4 linked regions of the Oryctolagus cuniculus genome follow. The protein of the gene in region 3 purifies or fractionates together with the protein of the main gene of each other region. This does not show direct contact. Links are inferred from orthologs where the notes say so. Each region holds a gene or a part of one and is shown on either strand. Other genes may lie near its edges.

Evidence for each region. Proteins that work in one complex are often made in the same cells at the same time.
Region 1: the proteins of SOD1 (region 3) and TKT purify together in Homo sapiens (affinity purification with mass spectrometry; 3 studies listed by BioGRID, with this or other methods). This does not show direct contact. The link is inferred for Oryctolagus cuniculus from reciprocal best matches to the Homo sapiens genes SOD1 and TKT.
Region 2: the proteins of SOD1 (region 3) and HEXB purify together in Homo sapiens (affinity purification with mass spectrometry; 3 studies listed by BioGRID and IntAct, with this or other methods). This does not show direct contact. The link is inferred for Oryctolagus cuniculus from reciprocal best matches to the Homo sapiens genes SOD1 and HEXB.
Region 4: the proteins of SOD1 (region 3) and ENO1 fractionate together in Homo sapiens (co-fractionation; 3 studies listed by BioGRID, with this or other methods). This does not show direct contact. The link is inferred for Oryctolagus cuniculus from reciprocal best matches to the Homo sapiens genes SOD1 and ENO1.

The regions. Positions count from the first base shown.
Region 1 is NC_091441.1:96,586,492-96,590,772, reverse strand, and holds the end of TKT (transketolase), read right to left. Parts: intron 3,716-4,281; coding exon 3,559-3,715; intron 3,433-3,558; coding exon 3,302-3,432; intron 2,712-3,301; coding exon 2,628-2,711; intron 2,515-2,627; coding exon 2,421-2,514; intron 1,751-2,420; coding exon 1,628-1,750; intron 1,099-1,627; coding exon 923-1,098; 3' UTR 832-922; downstream 1-831. UniProt on the Homo sapiens protein: Catalyzes the transfer of a two-carbon ketol group from a ketose donor to an aldose acceptor, via a covalent intermediate with the cofactor thiamine pyrophosphate.
Region 2 is NC_091445.1:36,201,468-36,206,064, forward strand, and holds part of HEXB (beta-hexosaminidase subunit beta), read right to left. Parts: intron 2,432-4,597; coding exon 2,302-2,431; intron 1-2,301. UniProt on the Homo sapiens protein: Hydrolyzes the non-reducing end N-acetyl-D-hexosamine and/or sulfated N-acetyl-D-hexosamine of glycoconjugates, such as the oligosaccharide moieties from proteins and neutral glycolipids, or from certain mucopolysaccharides.
Region 3 is NC_091435.1:13,159,626-13,164,830, forward strand, and holds the start of SOD1 (superoxide dismutase [Cu-Zn]), read right to left. Parts: upstream 3,130-5,205; 5' UTR 2,990-3,129; coding exon 2,918-2,989; intron 1-2,917. UniProt on the Homo sapiens protein: Destroys radicals which are normally produced within the cells and which are toxic to biological systems.
Region 4 is NC_091438.1:158,991,289-158,995,885, reverse strand, and holds part of ENO1 (alpha-enolase), read right to left. Parts: intron 4,126-4,597; 5' UTR 4,117-4,125; coding exon 4,032-4,116; intron 1,912-4,031; coding exon 1,816-1,911; intron 889-1,815; coding exon 830-888; intron 541-829; coding exon of another isoform or gene 482-540; intron 1-481. UniProt on the Homo sapiens protein: Glycolytic enzyme the catalyzes the conversion of 2-phosphoglycerate to phosphoenolpyruvate. In addition to glycolysis, involved in various processes such as growth control, hypoxia tolerance and allergic responses.

The sequences.
Region 1 (4,281 bases), on a different chromosome or scaffold from region 3:
CCCTCTGGAATTCGTGTTGGGTCAAATGCAGGCACACAGCGCCTGGCAAAGCCCACTGGGTGCAGAAGCTAAGTGGGCTGCACTTTGCTGGGTCTGTTGGGCTCATTCTGTCCAGATGGCCGGGAGGAAACGTGCACAGGTCTACAGATGTGTCTCACCCTCCCCAAGGACTCCAAGGGTTTCTGGAGAACCCTACCAGTTGCTGGCGGCACCCACTTCTTTGGCCAGTACAGGGTTCTATGCAGATAGCCTTACAAGCAGCAGGGGACAAACAGGCTATGGTCACCCGAGCAAGGGATCCTGCCTGGGAAGCAGCTGAGCTGGTGCATGGGCCAGCATGGCTCTGCTCTCCAAGTGTGATACCAGCAGCTTCTGGGGCAGGGGACAGTGGTGCACGCCAGGGAGCGAGGACCTCTACTGGTGGAGCTGGCCCCTGCAGCTCTGGCACAAAAGGCAGGAGGAGGGCCGCCAAGGTGATGGACGGGTTCACAGGGCGTGGGAAACGGAGGTTGGGGGACAGTGAACAAAGGCACCTCCTGATGCCAGGAGACCTGTGGGGACCCGGGGGAGGGCAGGATGCCCTGAGGAGGCCTGGACGAGTGCCAGGCCGTGAGGCAACTCCCAGCCTCCCTCGGGGCCTGGCTGACCGGACGCGGGCAGGGATGTGTGAGCCTCACTAGAAGGCACGGGCAGGGCCGTGTTACCTGGAGGGACTCTGGCCGTTGGGGAAGACGCTGGGCCAGGGCCGAGGACTCCAAAGGGCGGTGGACACCAGGTCCTGGCCCTGCCAGCACCGCAGCGTGCACGTCCCACAAAACACCTCAGGGCCGATTCATTTTTCTCAAAACATATATTCCCACTCGGTTCACACGTTGCCGAGCCCTCAGGCCTGTGCGGGACCCCGCCCTGCACCGGGCCTCCCCTAGGCCTTGGCCACCAGGCCCCTCACAGCTTGCGCGATGGCGTCCTTGTCGATGCCGAACATCCTCAGCAGCTCGGCCGGCTTCCCGCTTCTTGGCACCTGGCCCACAGCCAGGCGGGCGACAGTGACACCAGGCTCGCCTACTACTGCAGTGGACACCGCCTCCCCTATGCCACCTGGGCAGAGGAAAGGAGACTGGTCAGATGAACGAGGTCTCAGGGCGAGCAGAGGCTGGGCCCCAGCCCGTCAGTCTTGCGTTTACTTCCTTGGCCACAGGGGCACAGGTTGAAAATGCACCACTTTTCTCTACTGTAGCCAGGGCAGACATCACTCATCAATCACAGCACTGATGATATTTAAAAACACCACCCCCTGGGCAGCCATCATCAACAAACGTGCACCTGACCTGAGTCTATGCCTCATCTCCCCGGGGCCTCCTTGCAGGAGGTACAGGTGCAGAGGCTGCGTGGTGAAAGCCAGAGACTCAGCACTACTTTCCCTGTTGCACTCTGCACCACAGCCACACCCTTCCACTACTTCAGGACATAATCTGCCTTCTTTCTACCCACCGAGGTTGGAATCCTTGTGGGCTTCCTGGGCAGCAGGGGCTCAGCAGACACAGGAGGTCTGAGTGTGCCCAGCCCTTGGCCTTCCTGGCCCCTACCCCTATCCCCGCCCCCCCACCCCCCACCCCGGGCCACCTACCTTCATAATAGTGGTCCTCCACGGTGAGGATTCTGCCCTTGGTGGCACGGGCACTGTCCAGGATGAGCTTCCTGTCCAGGGGCTTGATGGTGAAGGGGTCCACCACGCGGATGCTGATCCTCTCTGTAGGGGAGGAGGGGCAGGGGTGGGGCTCAGGGGAGCACTGGGTGCCTGGGTCTGCCCTTGGTGGGGCCTGGTGGGGGTGTTCTGAGAGCTCCAGCCCATCCCTGTCCTGGGGAGAGCCAGCTCTGCCCACCGTGGAGCTTGTGCTAACGCCAGATGGGCCGGCCGCTGTCCTCCAGCCCTTGGCACCCACCTGCCTCCTCCAGGAGCCTTCCCTGACCCGAGGGGCTGGTGCTCCCTTGCCCAGGCAGTCTTGGCCAGCTCTGCGGCTGGGGACTGTCCAGAAATGCAGAGCCATTTTACAGAAGGGACTCGAGCAGAGCTGGATTTGGGCATCTGTACGGGGATCTGGAGACCATTCGCCCAAGGATACAGAGGGTTGACTGTTTACAGGTGGGTAAACTGAGGCACGGTATTAGGGAATAACCAGCTGTGATCCCAGCTGCCTCTGACCTGACCACCATGCCGGGCCATCTCAACCTGGGGGTCTTAGGGCAGGGATCATGGCCCCTGCAGCCCAAGGACCCAGCTTCAGGCTAGGCACAGGCTAAGCGCTCTGGAGGTGGCTGGTGTGAGTGTTGCCACTGTTAAACTGCACAGATCCTCTCGCCCCAGGACCCAGCGCGCAGGCAGCCCTCAGCCCACGGCTGGGCAGCTCCCTTCTCCTCACCTTTCTTTAGCAGCTCGGCGGCAGCCAAGGCCTCGTGCAGGGTCACCCCAGCCCCGACCACGGTCACCTGGTCATCCTTGCTCTTCAGGACCACCTAGGGGAGACAGCGGGGGACCGGCGAGGATCAGAAACTGCAGGCTGTGCAGGGTGGGGCAGGGAGGGTTTGGCTCTGGAAGGTGGGCTCGCTGGGGCAGGAGCGGCACTGACCTTGCCTTGTCCAACCTGGAAATCCTCACTGTTGTTGTAGATGATGGCGTTTTCCGGGCGGCTGGTCCGGATGAAGCAGATGCCCTGGGACGGGAACAGAGAAGCTGAGAACATGGGAGAACACAGCACCCTGCTCCCGGGGCACCATCTCTTCCGGAGAGCTCGGCCTCTCCTGCTGCAAATCCATCCAGCCTGTCATTGCCCAGGGCCTCCGTCAGTCCCTGCAGCCTGGCTACTGCAGCCTGCACCTCACTCCTCCCAAGAGCTGCCCACGGATGCTGCCGGCCACAGACCCCAAACAACTTTCCACCAGGGAGATGGCCCACCCGGTGAGGCTCCTCCACAGTGCATCCCCCGGGCAGGCCCCCCTGCTCCAGGCAGGGGAACGGGAACCACCCATGAGCAGGGCTCTGGACATGGACTGCAGGGCTTGGCTCACGGACACCAGTTCAAGTCGGGGCAAACAGGTGTGAACCACCAGACAGGGAGAGGTGGCCAGGACTCTCAGGGGGAAAAGAGTGCAGTCATCGACTGGTAATGTCTGCCATGATGCAGCAAGGGCGCTGTGTGTTTCATTTCTCCTTGTCCAACTTCCACAAACTACACAGACACCCGGGGCAAGGCCAGGAAACAGCTCTGTGCCCCTCCAGGAAAGAGCTAGCTGTGGTACCCACCTTTGTATTGGCTGCTAATTCCACTGCCTTCTCTGTAGCGACTGCGTCACTCGGGTAAAAGACAGTTGACATGGGGATGGAGCGGAACATGGCCAAGTCTTCTAGGGCCATCTGAGAGGGCCCATCTTCCCCTGTGGTGTGGGAAAGAAAACGCTGAGTAAGATCCCCATCCATGACCGGGCATCCCCGCCCCCACTCCTTGACCTGCTCCAAGAGGTTCAGGAGGCTCCAGGTACGGGCATCCTGGCTGGACTCACCGATGGACACTCCGCAGTGGGAGCCGCACACGTTGATGTTGCTCTCGGAGATGGCCGCCATGCGGATCTGGTCAAAGGCCCGTGTGAAGAAGGCGGCGAAAGAGCTACAGAAGGGTACCGTCCTGTTGCGCGTGGCACAGCCCACAGCGACGCTCACCTGGGGGCGGGGTGGGGGGCAGGCTCAGCTGGTGTTGCAGCGCGAGCAGGTTAAACTGTGGCTACTGGGATGCTGGGTTCGAGTCCTGGCTGCTCTGCTTCTGATCCAGCTTCCTGCTAATGCGCCTGGGAAAGCCATGGAGGATGGCCCAAGTCCCTGGGTCCCTACACTCATGTGGGAGACATGGATGGAGCTCCAGGCTCCTGGCTTCTACCTGGTCCAGACAGCCATTGTGGCCATTTGGGGGGGGGGGTGAACCAGTGGGTGGAAGATCTCTGTCTCTCTCTCCCTCCCTCCCTTCCTCCCTCCCTCTCTCTGCCTTTTAACTGAACAAATGAATGAATCTTAAAAGACAAACGAGACAGAAGGGAGCTGGTGCTGTGGCATAACAGATACTACAGTGCCAGTGTCCCATATGGGTGCTGGTTCAAATCCTGGCTGCTCCACTTCTGATTCAGCTCCCTTCTAAAAAGCCTGGGAAAGCTGTGGAAGATGCAAGTGCTTGGGCCCCTGCACCCATGTGGGAGATACCGGAGACCCGAAAGAAGATCTTGACTTTGGACCAT
Region 2 (4,597 bases), on a different chromosome or scaffold from region 3:
TCAGTCCCAAGTACTTGAGCCATCACCTTCTCTCTCTCATTGTTTGAACTGGCAGGAAGCTGCTTCCAAAGTGGAGGAGCCTGGACTTGAAACAGGCACTCTGATACAGCATACAGGAATGGCAAGCAGAGACCTCACCACTATGCCAAGTGCTTGTCCCTAGAGCTGGGGCACTCCAATATTGGGTGCAGGCATCTTAATCAGTATCTTAACCACTTAGGTCAAACACCAGCCCTATTAGTAAAATTTTTTAAGGTTTCAGGAGATGGAAATGCTAACTAACCTCATCGGTTCATTACACATTGAGTATATATCAAATTATCACACTATACCCCACAAATATGTACAATTAGATTTTTAAATGTGAAATCATTTATGAAATTTTCCTACTGAGTTGTAACAATATAAAATAAAGGTATATGTTATTTAAAAGTCCCATTTTAGGCCAGTGTCACGGCTCACTAGGCTAATCCTCTGCCTGCGGCGCCAGCACCCTGGGTTCTAGTCCCGGTTGGGGCGCCGGATTCTGTCCTGATTGCTCCTCTTCCAGTTCAGCTCTTTGCTGTGGCCCAGGAGTGCAGTGGAGGATGGCCCAAGTGCTTGGGCCCTGCACCCGCATGGGAGACCAGGAGAAGCACCTGGCTCCTGGCTTCGGATGCCAGCCATAGCAGCCATTTGGGGGGTGAACCAATGGAAGGAAGACCACTCTCTCTGTCTCTCTCACTGTCTAACTCTGCTTGTCAAAAAATTTAAAAAAAAATAAAAGTCTCATTTTAGGGATGTGGAACCTGAAGAAGAGATATTTCATAACTTATCCAAAGTCACTCAATTTATGAATGGCAGAAGCAGGATTCAACCCCAAGTAGTCTGGCTCCGGAGCCAACATTCCAATCACCACCCTGTCATGTCTGTTACTCTTTGCCAGATCCTAGAAAAACTAAATACTGTCAGACATGTCTTACCCTTTTTGCATTGCCTTTCCCCATGCCGTTCCCTCTACCAGAAACATGAATATATTCTTTGAAGTCTCAGAAGCTTTTTTTTTTGGACAGGCAGAGTGGACAGTGAGAGAGAGAGAGACAGAGAGAAAGGTCTTCCTTTGCCGTTGGTTCACCCTCCAATGGCCAGCGCGGCCGGCGCGCTGCGGCCGGCGCACCGCGCTGATCCGATGGCAGGAGCCAGGAGCCAGGTGCTTTTCCTGGTCTCCCATGGGGTGCAGGGCCCAAGCACCTGGGCCATCCTCCACTGCACTCCCTGGCCACAGCAGAGGGCTGGCCTGGAAGAGGGGCAACCGGGACAGAATCCGGCGCCCCGACCGGGACTAGAACCCGGTGTGCCGGCGCCGCTAGGCGGAGGATTAGCCTAGTGAGCCGCGGCGCCGGCCTCAGAAGCTTTTTAAGTGTTTCCTCATTCATACGTTTTTTCTTTTTCGTGTTTAACAATTTATTTGAAAGAGAGTCACAGAGAGAGGGGGTGATCTTCCAACCATGGATTCACTCCCCAGATGGCTGCAATGGCCAGGTCTGAACCAGGGCTAAGACAGGAGCTTCATCCACATTTCCCACATGGGTGGCAGGGGCCGGCCCAAACACTTGGACCACCTTCCGCTGCTTTTCCCAGGCCATTAGCAGGGAGCTAGATCAGAAATAGAGCATCCGGGACACGAACTGGTGCCCATATGGGATGCCAGCATCACAGGCAGTGGCTTGACCCACTATGCCACAACGCCAGCCTCTCTTGAAACTATTTCTTGAATTCACTTACTGTGTTCTACTTTTTATAATCATTTTTTTATATATTCCTTTCTCCTTATAGTTGTTGTTGTTGTTGTTTTGGACAGGCAGAGTTAGACAGTGAGAGAGAAAGGTCTTTCTACCGTTGGTTCACCCCCAAAATGAATGTCATGGTCGGTACACTGCGCCAATCTGAAGCCAGGAGCCAGGTGCTTCTCCTGGTCTCCCATGTGGGTGTAAGGCCCAAGGACTTGGGCCATCCCCCACTGCCCTCCCTGGCCACAGCAGAGAGCTGGCCTGGAAGAGGAGCAACCGGGACAGAATCCGGCGCCCCGACCGGGGCTAGAACCCGCGGTGCTGACACCACAGGCAGAGGATTAGCCTAGTGAGCCGCAGCACCAGCCTCTCTCTGGTTTTTATACTTAGGTGATACCTAGAAACAGTGACTTGCTTACAGACATAATGTTAATCATATGTGTCAACAGTGCTAGAATTAGATAAACCACAAGAACAAAATGAGCAAAAACCAAGTCATAATATGAGAGATGTAAGACCTCAAACTCCTTACCTTTGCCCCAAGACTGTGTATGTCCAGGAGTATCAAATTCTGGTATGACTCGAATCCCTCGCATTCGGGCATATTCAATCACCATACGTACGTCATTCGGTGTATAGACATGAGAAAAAGAATAGCTTCCCTATAACAGCCACATTTATTCAGGTTAAAATGAACAAAGTGGTTGGTTCTTAACAAGCCTGTTTATATTTGATAGTTATGGTTTTCACCATCAGAGTGTATGTGATATTGAATGACACATTTAAAAATAACATATCACCATAGCTTCAGGAATAGGAAATATACAGAAAAGAGAGAAATTTTCTACTAAACCACACATACCCAAAGGATGATAACCACTGAAGGACTTCTGTCAAATCATGTGTTTACTATATGTCATCAATAAATTCTCTGTACACTTTGGGTTAATCCCAGATTTACTGATAGAAATCTCTGTCTGCACTAGTGTCTCCTGCTTCAAGAACATCTGCTATAATGTTTCAGTTTCATGTGACCATACAACAAAGCAGAAATGAAATGCTGGCCCCCAAAGTGAAACAGCTGAATCAACAGCTCATCAATTTTAGAATCAAAATCCATACATTATTACAAAGCATAGCTGTAGTCTTTCAAAGTCACTGTAAGTGTTGCCAGCTTTAATAATTCTCTTATAAACAGTTCAAGACAGAGAGAAAGGTCTTCCTTTTTCCGTTGGTTCACCCCTCAAGTGGCCACTACAGCCGGCGTGTTGTGGCCAGTGCACTGCACCAATCTGAAGCCAGGAGCCAGGTGCTTCCTCCTGGTCTCCCATGTGGGTGCAGGGACCAAGGACCTGGGCCATCCTCCACTACACTCCCAGGCCACAGCAAAGAGCTGGACTAAAAAAGGAGCAACTGGGACAGAATCTGGCACCCCAACCTGGACTAGGGTGCCGGCACCACAGGCAGAGGATTAGCCTAGTGAGCCGCGGCGCCGGCCTAACTTGATGGTTTTTAAAGATTGCCTCATTCCCTTCACTGGAAAAATTAAAAGTTCAATATTAATTGTAATTAAAGATAAGTCTATTAAAGATATTGTTTAGCAGGCTTCTCAAAGTATCAACTATACCTGCTCAACTTCTAAAAAGTAATCTTGTCCCACAGCCCTCCAGATCAAATCTGTATCTAATCAATACCCCATCTTTCAGTTTACAGTAAATACAGGGGACATGTTAATTGACACTATGGAGACACAGAACCCAGACCATGGAAAACTGACTCATTTTCTTCAACAACAACAAATTACAAGGCAAAAGGGAGACTGAGGTAGGAAGTGGGAATCTAACAATAAAAAGACAGTAGACATATTAACAGACCACAAGGTGTGGGGCTTATTTGCATCTCAATTATAATAAAATGTTTAATAAAGCAAAAACTGAATACTAACTGGTTATCTAAATTGCTGTTAATTTTTCAGTTCCAGTAATGTATTGTGGTTATTTAAAAAAAAATTATCAATGAAATAAAATGTTTGGGGTTGACTGACAACATGGGGGGCAGAGGATATCTGCAGGACAGCCTGAGATTGGCCATGTGCGAACTACTAGAGCTGAGTGATGAGAACATGGAAATTCATGAAACATTTCCATCTGCACTTGAAAATTTCCATAATGAAAGTAAAACAAAAGCATGTGCTCTTAACATTTCAGCCTGAACTATAATAGTGGGGAAAGTTTGGAATTGTAACCAGAGTACAGAATGTAGAGTCTTGATTGGGACCCTTCCTAACTGCAACTATAGACAAAGCACAGAGCTTCTCTGGATGCCACTTACTCCGTGTAATGGAATTAAACGAGGTCCCTCTATGGATCGCCCCCAGCCCAGCTGCTCTACAAGGCAGTCTTCTTGGGCACCTCCCACCAAGACCATCAGTCTTGTAGCCAAGAGCCCGCCTCTCTAAAATTCCCTGCTTAGTGTAACTTTTTAAAAGAGGACAAATACATATTTCCAAATTCTGTTTAAAGCAAATAATATAACTGGTCCCCTTGATAAATATATCTTAGCTGTAAGTTATTTGGGAGTTATTTAGGTCTTCTAAATTGTTTTTTAAATTTTACTTGTAGTGTCCATAGAGTTTATTTACATGTATGCTGGCATAACATTTATAATAACAATTATAGTAGCATTTATAACACAACAAAGACATAACAGTTTTGTGGATCTAAAAAGCTAAGTCATAGACTAAAAAAAACATATAAAACTATGACTATCTTGGATTCAATTTCAATTCTATTCAGAAAACATTTTCACTACAAAATTCTAGTGAAGCT
Region 3 (5,205 bases):
GGCAAGTCAGAGAAAGCAGCTGCTTCTCCACAGAGCACACGGCCGATCCACGTTCCCAGTCACAGCAAGGGAGAAGTCTGTGTCCTCTCTGTGGCCCACCACTTTGTAGCCTGTGGGCCTCCAGCAGGTTGCTTACCTGCAGCACGCAGTGCGTTCTCACTAACACTGACTGCCCCGGAGTCCTGTGGCCAGGTCGGCATGATACAGCAGATACGAAGCTCCCAGCAGAACGCACCCCAAGGTCAGACTTACACTGGGACCGAGTGCTCTGCAGGGCCCCTCCCGATGGGCACGCGCTCATTTACAAGATACCTCTGGGTAGGCTGTGTGTGCGTGTGATGAGTCTACGTGTACCCATCAGACTTTTCAGTCCAAAGAGTCTATGTCACCATACGCTCAACTCCTGGCTTTCTTCATGGACACGCTCTTTCCACACAGCAAACACTGCATACAAACATGCCTTTGAGAAAGAAAAAAGGACCCAGCAAAGGTCCAGCTGGCTGCCCTGGGACCCGTTCTCCACTCTCACTTGGTGGGTATTGTCAATTTCCATCACAGTCATTTGTGATTGGCAGCCAGAAAATACCCTATCCCACAGTCCCCAGAGAGACCAGGTCTAGTCTAACCAGAGAGACTGTTTTAAGTATTTTTAGGCAATGGAGCCTAGATTTAAAAACTCCAACACAGGAGAGAGTGACGACACGCTAAGGCAGGTGGGAAACCTGCAGCAAGATCTCCATGCAGGCCACGGTGCTGCGTGGCCAGACACAGAAAACCAGGGAAGCTGCTGTTACCACTCGTTGCCCAAAGATCTCGGGGACTATACACACGCACAGCACCAGCTCCACACCATCACTCACTCACACACACACACACACACACACACACACACGGCTCTCCTTGTTTTTAGCTTGGTTTGCTTTCCAAGTCGACAGTAAGACGAGGCACGAGGCCTTGAGCTCAGAAGAGACCCTGGCTCAAAGTGTCTGTCCGGAAGACTGCTCCCCTTTGTTTTCCCTTGGGGGAACAGCAGCTGCACTTCTCCCCAGGACCACCTCTGGCTGTGGCCGCACTTTGAACAGTAGCAGGCAGACAAGGGCAGATTCTTCCAGACCGCTCTGCACACGCAAGGCAGGCGGCACACGAAGTCGATCCAGAGCCGCGGGGTTACAATCCTACAGGGCGCAGGCTGCCGCCCTAAGCGAGGAAGAGAGAGGGGCTGGGAGGCAGACAGGAACACAAACGGTCCAGCAGTGCAGTCCTCGGCGAAGACAGGCACGGAGGAGCACACACCCAACCGTTTCAGGAGCTAGGAACCAGGACTGACCGACCAACCCACCGCGATTTTTAAATGTTGGCAACTAACCTTCAACACTGAATAGGCCAAACCAAATACAGTTTATAGCCAACTGATTACTTCTGCCTATCTGTAGTGCTGGAAGACCAAACTCTCCAGGGGGCTTTATCAAGTGCAAAGGGCAGCACCCAAGTGAAGTCTGGAGCTGAAACCAGGAACCGTGCCAGACACTGGGGGAAGGTGCAAGACTGACAAGCTCCCAGGCCCACCCCCAGGGCCCCTTCCTGCTGCGAGGGATCGGAGGCTCTCCACACCTGTGACTTCCCTGCAGACCCAAACAAAGCCAGGCAAGTGAAACGCAGCCAGACGCACTCGGGCCAGACCCCCTTCCTCGGTGTGAAGCCAGTTCATGAAAACACAGGCACTTGAACCCACACTCATCCCTTACTCTCTCTCTCTCAATGCCTAGGCTCAGTGCAGGAGTTTCCCACAACTTGAGCTTGCGGGGACAATCTTATCACAAGCACCTTCCTTGTGGAGTTTCTGATAACGAGTATCTCTGCAAAAATTGCTGTAGAGTCTTTATTTCCCACGATTTGTTCTTGGACCCACTGAGCAACCTCAATGTCAAAGCCACTCTGCAGAGAATTTGGCCAAAGGAGTGCTCCAAAAACAGGTAAGAGCCAGTCTGACTAAGGTATAAGCTCCAGGTTTCTGCAACTTCCAAATCCCCCGGCCTCCGGAGTGTTAATTCTCCATCTTAGGTGCACGGTAAAATCACCCTGGAAATTCAAAATAGTAACACTCAGAGCGCACCAGAGCAAATTAAGACAAAATTGGTCTGGGGCCGAGCCCTGGTATCTGGGTTTTTTGTTTGTTTGTGAGAATCTGCGCTCTGGAAAATTCCCAAGTCAGATGTCCGGCTTTTGCAGTTTTGAAGGCAAAAAAAAAAAAAAAAAAAAAAAAAATCGTTTTCCAAGGCCATCCTCTTTGCCTTCGCCGCCTGACCACGACCTGGCTCTCAGGCGCCAACACGCTGCCGAAAATAAAGTCACGCTGGGCCGCTGCGGCGTGTTCGACCAGTTAAACCTGTAGAGCTGGGACAATGACCCTGGGACTGAGGGGACGCCGCGGGCCGCAACCGCAGACCCCGGACCTAGAGCGCGGGAGCCAGAGAAGCAGCCCCAAGCGGGTAACGGACGCGGCGACACCCACGCGGGCCCGGCCGCACGCGCCACGCCTGGATCTCGGGGTGGCGGCGGGGGGGGGGAGCCCACGGACCCCCGGGCGGCAAACGCAGGGCCCCGCGCGGGTCTCCACCTCGCCCTCACAGACCCCGCGGCGGTCGGAGCCCGCGCGCCAGGCCCGGGCGTTCCAGTCCCGCACCCCCGCCCAGGCCCGGCCCGGCCCCGCCGCCGCCGCCGCCGCCGCCGGGGCCCGCCCGGTGACTCAGCAGTTGGCGGGCGGGTGCGCGCGGGCGGCGGTGCGGGGCGCCGCGCGGCCAGGAGGCGGAGGAGCCCGGTGGCGCGGACCCCGGCCCGGCGCGGCGGCGGCGGTGTGGCGACCCCAGCCCCGGCCCGGCCGGCGGCCCTGTCCCCGGCGCTTCCTGCCAGCCCTTGCCTTCTGCTCGAAGTGGATGGTGCCCTCGACCGGGCCGTCGCCCTTCAGCACGCACACAGCCTTCGTCGCCATGACTCCCGAGCGGCGCGCTCCGGTGCGGGCAGCGAGGGCGGCGGGAGACGCTGCAGGACGCGCCGACGCAAACCGAGCCCGACGCGCCCCCGGCTGCTTTATAGGCCGCCGCGCTGCGCCCCGCCCACCCTGGCCCTGAACCAATCGCCGCCCGCGCGCTCAGCCCGCCCCCTCTACGGCGGCCTCGGGGCGCGAGTGGCCTGGGATGACCGGGGGCGGGGCGAGGCCGCGCGTGAGGAAGCCGCCGGGACCCTGAGGGGGAACCCGGCTCTCGGACCCGAGTGGTGTGGCCGACGGTGGCGGTGGCCCGAACCGGGAGACCGAGGAGTACGTGTTATGCCGAGAAGGTCTGAAGTCGCTCCGTCTAGAGACGTTAGCAACAGCGGCTGGCGCTGTGGCGTAGCAGGTTAAGCTGTGGCCTGCGGCGCCCCTGCTGCTCCGCTTCCGATCCAGCTCCCTGCTGATGCGGCTGGGAAAAGCAGCAGAGGGTGGCCCCAGTGCCTGGGCCCCTGCACCCCTGTGGGAGACCCGGAAGAAGCTCCTGGCCCCTGGCTGCGGCCTGGCCCAGTACTGGCCATGGCGGCCATCTGGGGGAGTGAACCAGCGGATGGGAGAATTCTGTGTCTCTCCCTTTCTCTTACGCATGACTTTCAAATACATAAATCAAAAAAAGAAAAAAAAAGGAAATTGGATTAACTTAAGTGGATGCTTTCTGTAGTTTCCTTTTTTTTAAAATCTTGGGTTTTTTTTTCTTTTTAAGATTTATTTATTTGAAAGACAGGGTTAGAGAGAGGTAGAGCCAGAGAGAGAGCGAGCGAGAGCGACGTCTTCCATCCGCTGGTTCACTCCCCAAATGACCGTAATGGCCAGAGCTGGGCTGATCTGAAGCCAGGAGCCAGGAGTTTCCTCAGGGTCTCCCATGCGGGTGCAGGGGCCCAAGGCCATGAGCCATCTTCCACTGCTTTCCCAGGCCATAGCAGAGAGCTGGATCAGAAGTGGAGCAGCCGGGACTGGAACCGGCACCTAAGAGATGGCGGCCTTGCAGGCTGGGGCTTTAACCCACTGTGCCACAGCGCTGGCCCCTGTAGTTTCTGGTTTTTGTCTGTTTTTAGTTGTTGTTGTTTTTTTTTTTAAGGTATACTTATTTATTTGGAAGAATGAGTGATCTGCTGGCTCACCACCCAGGTAACCACCCAGGGACTCCGTCGGGGTCTCCCTCATGGGTGGCAGGGTCCCAAGCCCCTGGGCCCTCCTCTGCACTTCCCCAGTGCGTTAGCAGGGAGCTGGGTAGAAGGGAAGCAGCCTGGACTTGAGCCGGCGCCCCCTTGTTTGTGGTTTTGTCGTGGTCAGTACAGCCTGACCTGGTTCATAGTGCCTCTGGCATGGTTAGAATTCTGCATTCTTAGTTGCCATGATGGCAGGACCACACAACCTTAAAGACAACAAAATGACATCTGTTTGGCTTCCACATAGCTCCCCTGTTTCCTTCCATCTGGCTAAGGCCACATCACACAGGCAAAGGGTAGATGATTAAATGACCTAACAGCGCCTGCATTCAGTAGGAGAGGTAAATAGTACATACGCTTTTCATGCAAAGTGTTCCAGAAGCATGAAGCGAGGAGAGGAGACCAGTGTTGTGGGACAGCAGGTTAGGCCGCAGCCTACCACGCCAGCATGCTCTATCTGAGCGCTTGTTAGAGTCCAGGCTGCTGTACTTTGTGTCCAGCTCCCTGCTAATGTGTCTGGGAAAGCAGCAGAGGAGGGCCCCATTACCTGGGCTCCTGCCAGCAACGCGGGAGACCCGGATGGAGTTCTTCGCTCCTGGCTTCTGTCTGGTTCAGCCTCGGCCACTGCAGCCATTTAGGGAGTGAACCAGCAGCTAGAAGATCTCTATTTCTCTTTCTCCTCCTTGTCACTCTGCCTTTCAAATAAATGCTTAAAAAAAAAAAAAAAAAAAGCAAGCAGAAACTAGTTTGTTTAAGAATCAACATATGTTTACTTGTGCGCTTAAAATGTTTATATAGGAGACTCTGGGTACTTCACAGGAGTGTGAATTAAACTTTTACTAGTGTTCTTCTCTTAGAATTTCACATGGTGGAAATATGTGCAACAATATGGCTTGGATTTTCTAAGAATAAGAATCTTCCCCATCTGGGCCAGCGTTGTAGCAGCACAGGAGCTGAGCTACGGCCTGCGATGTGGAAATCCCACATAGG
Region 4 (4,597 bases), on a different chromosome or scaffold from region 3:
AGCAAGCTGGGACATGGACAATGAAGACAGCAGCGCTCAGTTCCCGCTGCGGCACAGGTGACTCTGCGACTGCTCCATCAGGCAGCACCACAGGGAGGGCGAAGACACCAACTGCTCGGCTCAGGCGGTCGGGTCGCAGGGCCCTGGCCTTGTCCTACTAGGGCAGCTCTACTCAACAGTCTGACTGCTGAGGTTTCAAGATTTTGTTGACTGAAAAAACAGTAGGAATCCAGCAGAGACTTCCAAAGGTCATGCAGAGTTAGCCACCGTGGACACTCCTGCCCCCACTGCTCCATGCCAGCTCCACGCGCTGGCAGGGGACACACAGGCTGTGGGCAGGTTAGCGTGACGCCATGCAGACAGGGACCCCAACCGGCTTCTGCAGCTCTCAGAGTAAGCTCTTCTGTGAAGAGGGAAGGCCCTGGGCCTGAGGGACGCTCTGGTGGCATCGATAGACATTAGTTATCAGGAGAGGTCCTACCTTGCTAACCAGGGCAGGCGCAATAGTTTTATTGATGTGCTCAACAGCCTTTGAGACACCTGGAAGGAACAATCAAATCAATTACTGACATTAATTCAGAAAAGGAGGCTTGAGCAGCATTGCTGGAGATCTACTGAGGCTGCTGTCCCAGAAGCCCACCAGAGCCCTGCCACGGGACCACTGCTTCAAAACCCCACCCCCGCCCCTGGAGGCTGAGCGCTCTTACCGAGGACCCCCAGGGGTTAGAGCCACACACAGAGCCCCGCTCAATTCCCCAGCTGGAGGTTAGTCTGCAAGACCATGCACTGGGATACCAGCTGCACAGACTCCAGGACTTCCGGTTGTTACCTGAGTGCACAGGGCTGGTGCCAGGAACTCATTAATATACTTAACGGGTCTGGAGACGCCTGCCCAGTCCAGATGGACAGAGAAGGAAAAAGAGAGACTCAGAAGAGAACAGGCTGTGAGGCACACAGAGTGAGAAAAGGCGAGGAAACAGGAGGGTGGGAGGGTGCTGGAGGGGCCGCAGCGCCGGCCTGGGTGCATGCTGGCTCCCGCCCTCGAGGCACGGCACCGCCCTGCTCCAGCGAGAGCAAGGTCCCCGCGGGCCCGCCGTGCACAAGCAGGCGCCGCCCGGCCTCTCCCCGGCGGCTGTGTTGGCCCTGCCCGGCAGCCATTTTAGACTTTCTCCCTACTTGCCTGAAACTGACCACCACAGGCGTGCTGCACTGACGCACTGGGGGCTCTCTGGAGGCCCAGGAACCCCTCCCAGGGGGCTAACACCACCCGCTGTGGAACACACGTGAGACGGCCTCACGTGCTTCCTGTGAATGGGCCACACGGCGCCATCTCCAGAACCGCGGAAGCTACGTCAACACAGACAGTCAGCACCCGAGGGGGCCTGCCACTTGGCAGCCCCTCTGTCGACCCCCAGCACAAACCTACCTACTCCCGGCAGCAGGCCACGAGCTGCCCCTCCCTAGGCCCTGTGGAGGGGGATGGTGGGCCGGACCCAGAGGCCCTGCTGGGCAAAGGGGAAGACCCCTGGGCACGAGCTGGCCTTAGTTAACGGGACCACTTCTCACCCTGGGCCCAATCACAGGCTGGAGAAGGCCGCAACAGCAGTGACCACTGGAACTCCCGGCCCTGGGCTTACAGGCTTTGGAGCCTCGGGATCTGTGCCCGCCGGGCCTGCTTTCCACGTGCTGGGGCGCCGTGAGTGACGGTGGGTCTACCACTACCCTGCGCGAGGCCGCCCCCAGGAGTATGCGGGTCATGCGGAAGGCCAGGAGCGGGGCTGGAAGCAGAGGCTGGGTTGTGGGTCCAGGCCTTACCCTTCCCCATGTAGCGAGTCTTGTCATTGTCCCGCAGCTCCAAGGCTTCGTAGATTCCAGTTGAAGCACCACTGGGCACAGCAGCTCGGAAAAGACCTAGATGAGGGGAAAACAGGAACAATTAACAATGCGGCGATGGGGGCTGACGCTGTGGCGCTATGTGGCACCGGTACCCCCTAAGTGCCGGTTCCAGTCCACTCCCTGCTAATGCATCTGGGAAACAGCAGACAGTGTCCCAGTCCTCAGCCCCTGCCACCCACATGGCAAACCCCGACAGAGTTCCAGGCTCCCGGTTTCACACTGGTCCAGCCCCAGCCCTTGTGGCCATGCAGACGTGAGATATGAGATCTCTGTCTCTCCACCTTTCAAAAATCTTACAAAAGAAGACACAGTGAAAATGGCAGCCCAGATCCCCTCCCACACACAGATGTCTCTGCGCCAGGAAACAGTGTGGTAATGGTCACGTTTCCGCGATTCTGCAATGCAGATCCTCCCACCAACTGCGGAACTTCCCTAGCTCAAGTCTCAGGTGCACACGGGCCCCCGGGGACCTCGCTGACAGACAGTCTCACGGCGGGGCTGGGGAGCCTGCAGCTGGCCCGGCAGCAGTGCCGGCAGAAGCAGAACCCAAGTCAGGGAGGGGGCTGGCGGTGCCCTCGGAGCTGCGCTCAACTAGAAAGGCAAAGCGGGAACTTCGTCAGCTCGAGAGGAGCCGCTGGTCATTTGCCTCGGTTTAGACAGCGATGACCACTAGTCTGGGGTCTCCGCCCCCAGGCAAACTGGCTGAGGGGGAACAGGAATAAAGACAACGGGTGCAGTGTTCACATCACTAGGACACGATCCTGCATCCAGAAACCAGACCCGTGCTGCAGCCCCGACACGGCCACCGCTGGACAAAGCGCGAGGCGGGGCGTCAAGACCTCCAGTTTGGGGAGAGGGCAGGCAGCCTCGGGAACCCACCAGCAGCTCTAGGGAATTTTCCATCTGAAAGGAGCTGGGCAGGGATGTGGCGGCAATGCACAGAGGGGAAGAACGTCCTCCTCCCGCTCTGCTGCAGGCTGACTCACGGTGACTCAGCCCGGCGAGCGCGGCTCGGCTCAGTGACTGCCAGAAGCCGCTTTCCCAGCCTCGCCCCAGCCTGTTCATGAAACAGCCGGGGAACTAACTGCTGGAAGTAACCACGGCTGAAAAGGCAGATTTTCTTCTTAAAAAAAGGAGGGGAAAGCCCTCATTCTGTGGTTTTTCACAGGGCACACTGCAGAGCCTTATGGCCAGGAAACATCAGAGCCCCGGACTTCCCCAGAACCCCAGGTCATAGCCCTGAATTCAAGAGCGCTACACGGCCACTGGCTCGCGCTCCCTCATCTCCTGCCTCACCCAGGAAGGATCCAGCCACACCACATCTGCCAATTCAGGCGTGGGCACGCCTTATCTCAGCCCCTCCCCCACAGGGCACAGGTTTTGTTTTAAATGCCAAGAATTTGTGAGACAAAGGCTCTGTCCTACAATCTCTCCTCCACATCACCGCCAGCCAGAAATCACAGCCTGTCAGCATGTGCAGAGCAGAAAGAAAAGTGTCTACAGCAAGAATTTTTCATGCCTAATACAGCGTAACAGAGAGGGAGGGAGAGAGAATCCTCCATGTACTCATGTACTGCCCAAATGCTTGCAGCACCAGGCTGGGGCAGGCCAGAAACCCCACACAGATCTCCTGGTGGGCGGCAGGGAGTGGCGGAGGCACTTGAGCCGGGTGCTGCCTTTCCCAGGCACATCAGCGGGACCCGGCTCACCAGCGGAGCAGCCTGAGCTCCATCGGGTAATCCAGCCGGGAGCGGCCATGGCAAGAGGAAGCTTAACCTGCTGCTCCACAGTGTCCATCCTCCGTCACTTTTAAACAAGTTTTTGTCTTATTTTTAAAGGTTCATTTAGTTATTTGAAAGGCAAAGAGATGGAGAGAGATCTTCTACCTGCTGGTTCATTCCCCAAATGACTGCAACAGCTAGGTCTGGTCTGGGTCGAAGCCAGGAGCCCGGAACTCCAACCAGGTCTCCTCGTGGGTGGCAGTAACCCATGCACTTTGGGGCCATCTTCCACTGCTTTCCCAGGTGCACTAGCAGGAAGCTGGACTGGAATTAGGCAACTGCCATGCTGGCACCCCACCCATGATTTGTGAGCAAATCTTCAAAATGGAGTGTGGAAACTGAGGCGGCACGTACCTTTGGAGGTGTAGAGATCAACCTCGACGGTGGGATTCCCGCGAGAGTCAAAGATCTCTCTGGCATGGACCTTGAGCACAGACATGGTGAATTTCTGCGGGGAAACACAGTTTTTATTTCCCATAAACCACTACACAGCATTTGCTCATTCACTCGAGGGTTCCTGGACCAGGCGGAATCTGCACTGGCCTGAATGCTGGCTGCAGGAAGGCAGCTTAGGGGCGGGAGGCCGGAGGCATCGCTCCATCCAACCCGGACTGGGCCCCGTCCTGGAGGCCTTCACTTCTATGGTTGAAGTCTTGCCTATGAGCAAAAGCCTGACAACGTGTGCCCCTCGGGGAAATCTGATCCAACTGGAGAATTAACACGTTGACGGCACGTACGGCCTGGAGTTGGAGGGCTGGCATGGAGTGAGGAGCACCAAGAGCAGGCAGGCCACAGGCAAACCATCTAGAACAAGGCCAAAGCGGGAGGCGAGGCGGTCTGGCTTCCAGCACAATGGGGCCCGATTCATCAAATGAGATCTGAGGGGCCTGGGTTGGCAGACACCCACTCAGAAGGGCTGA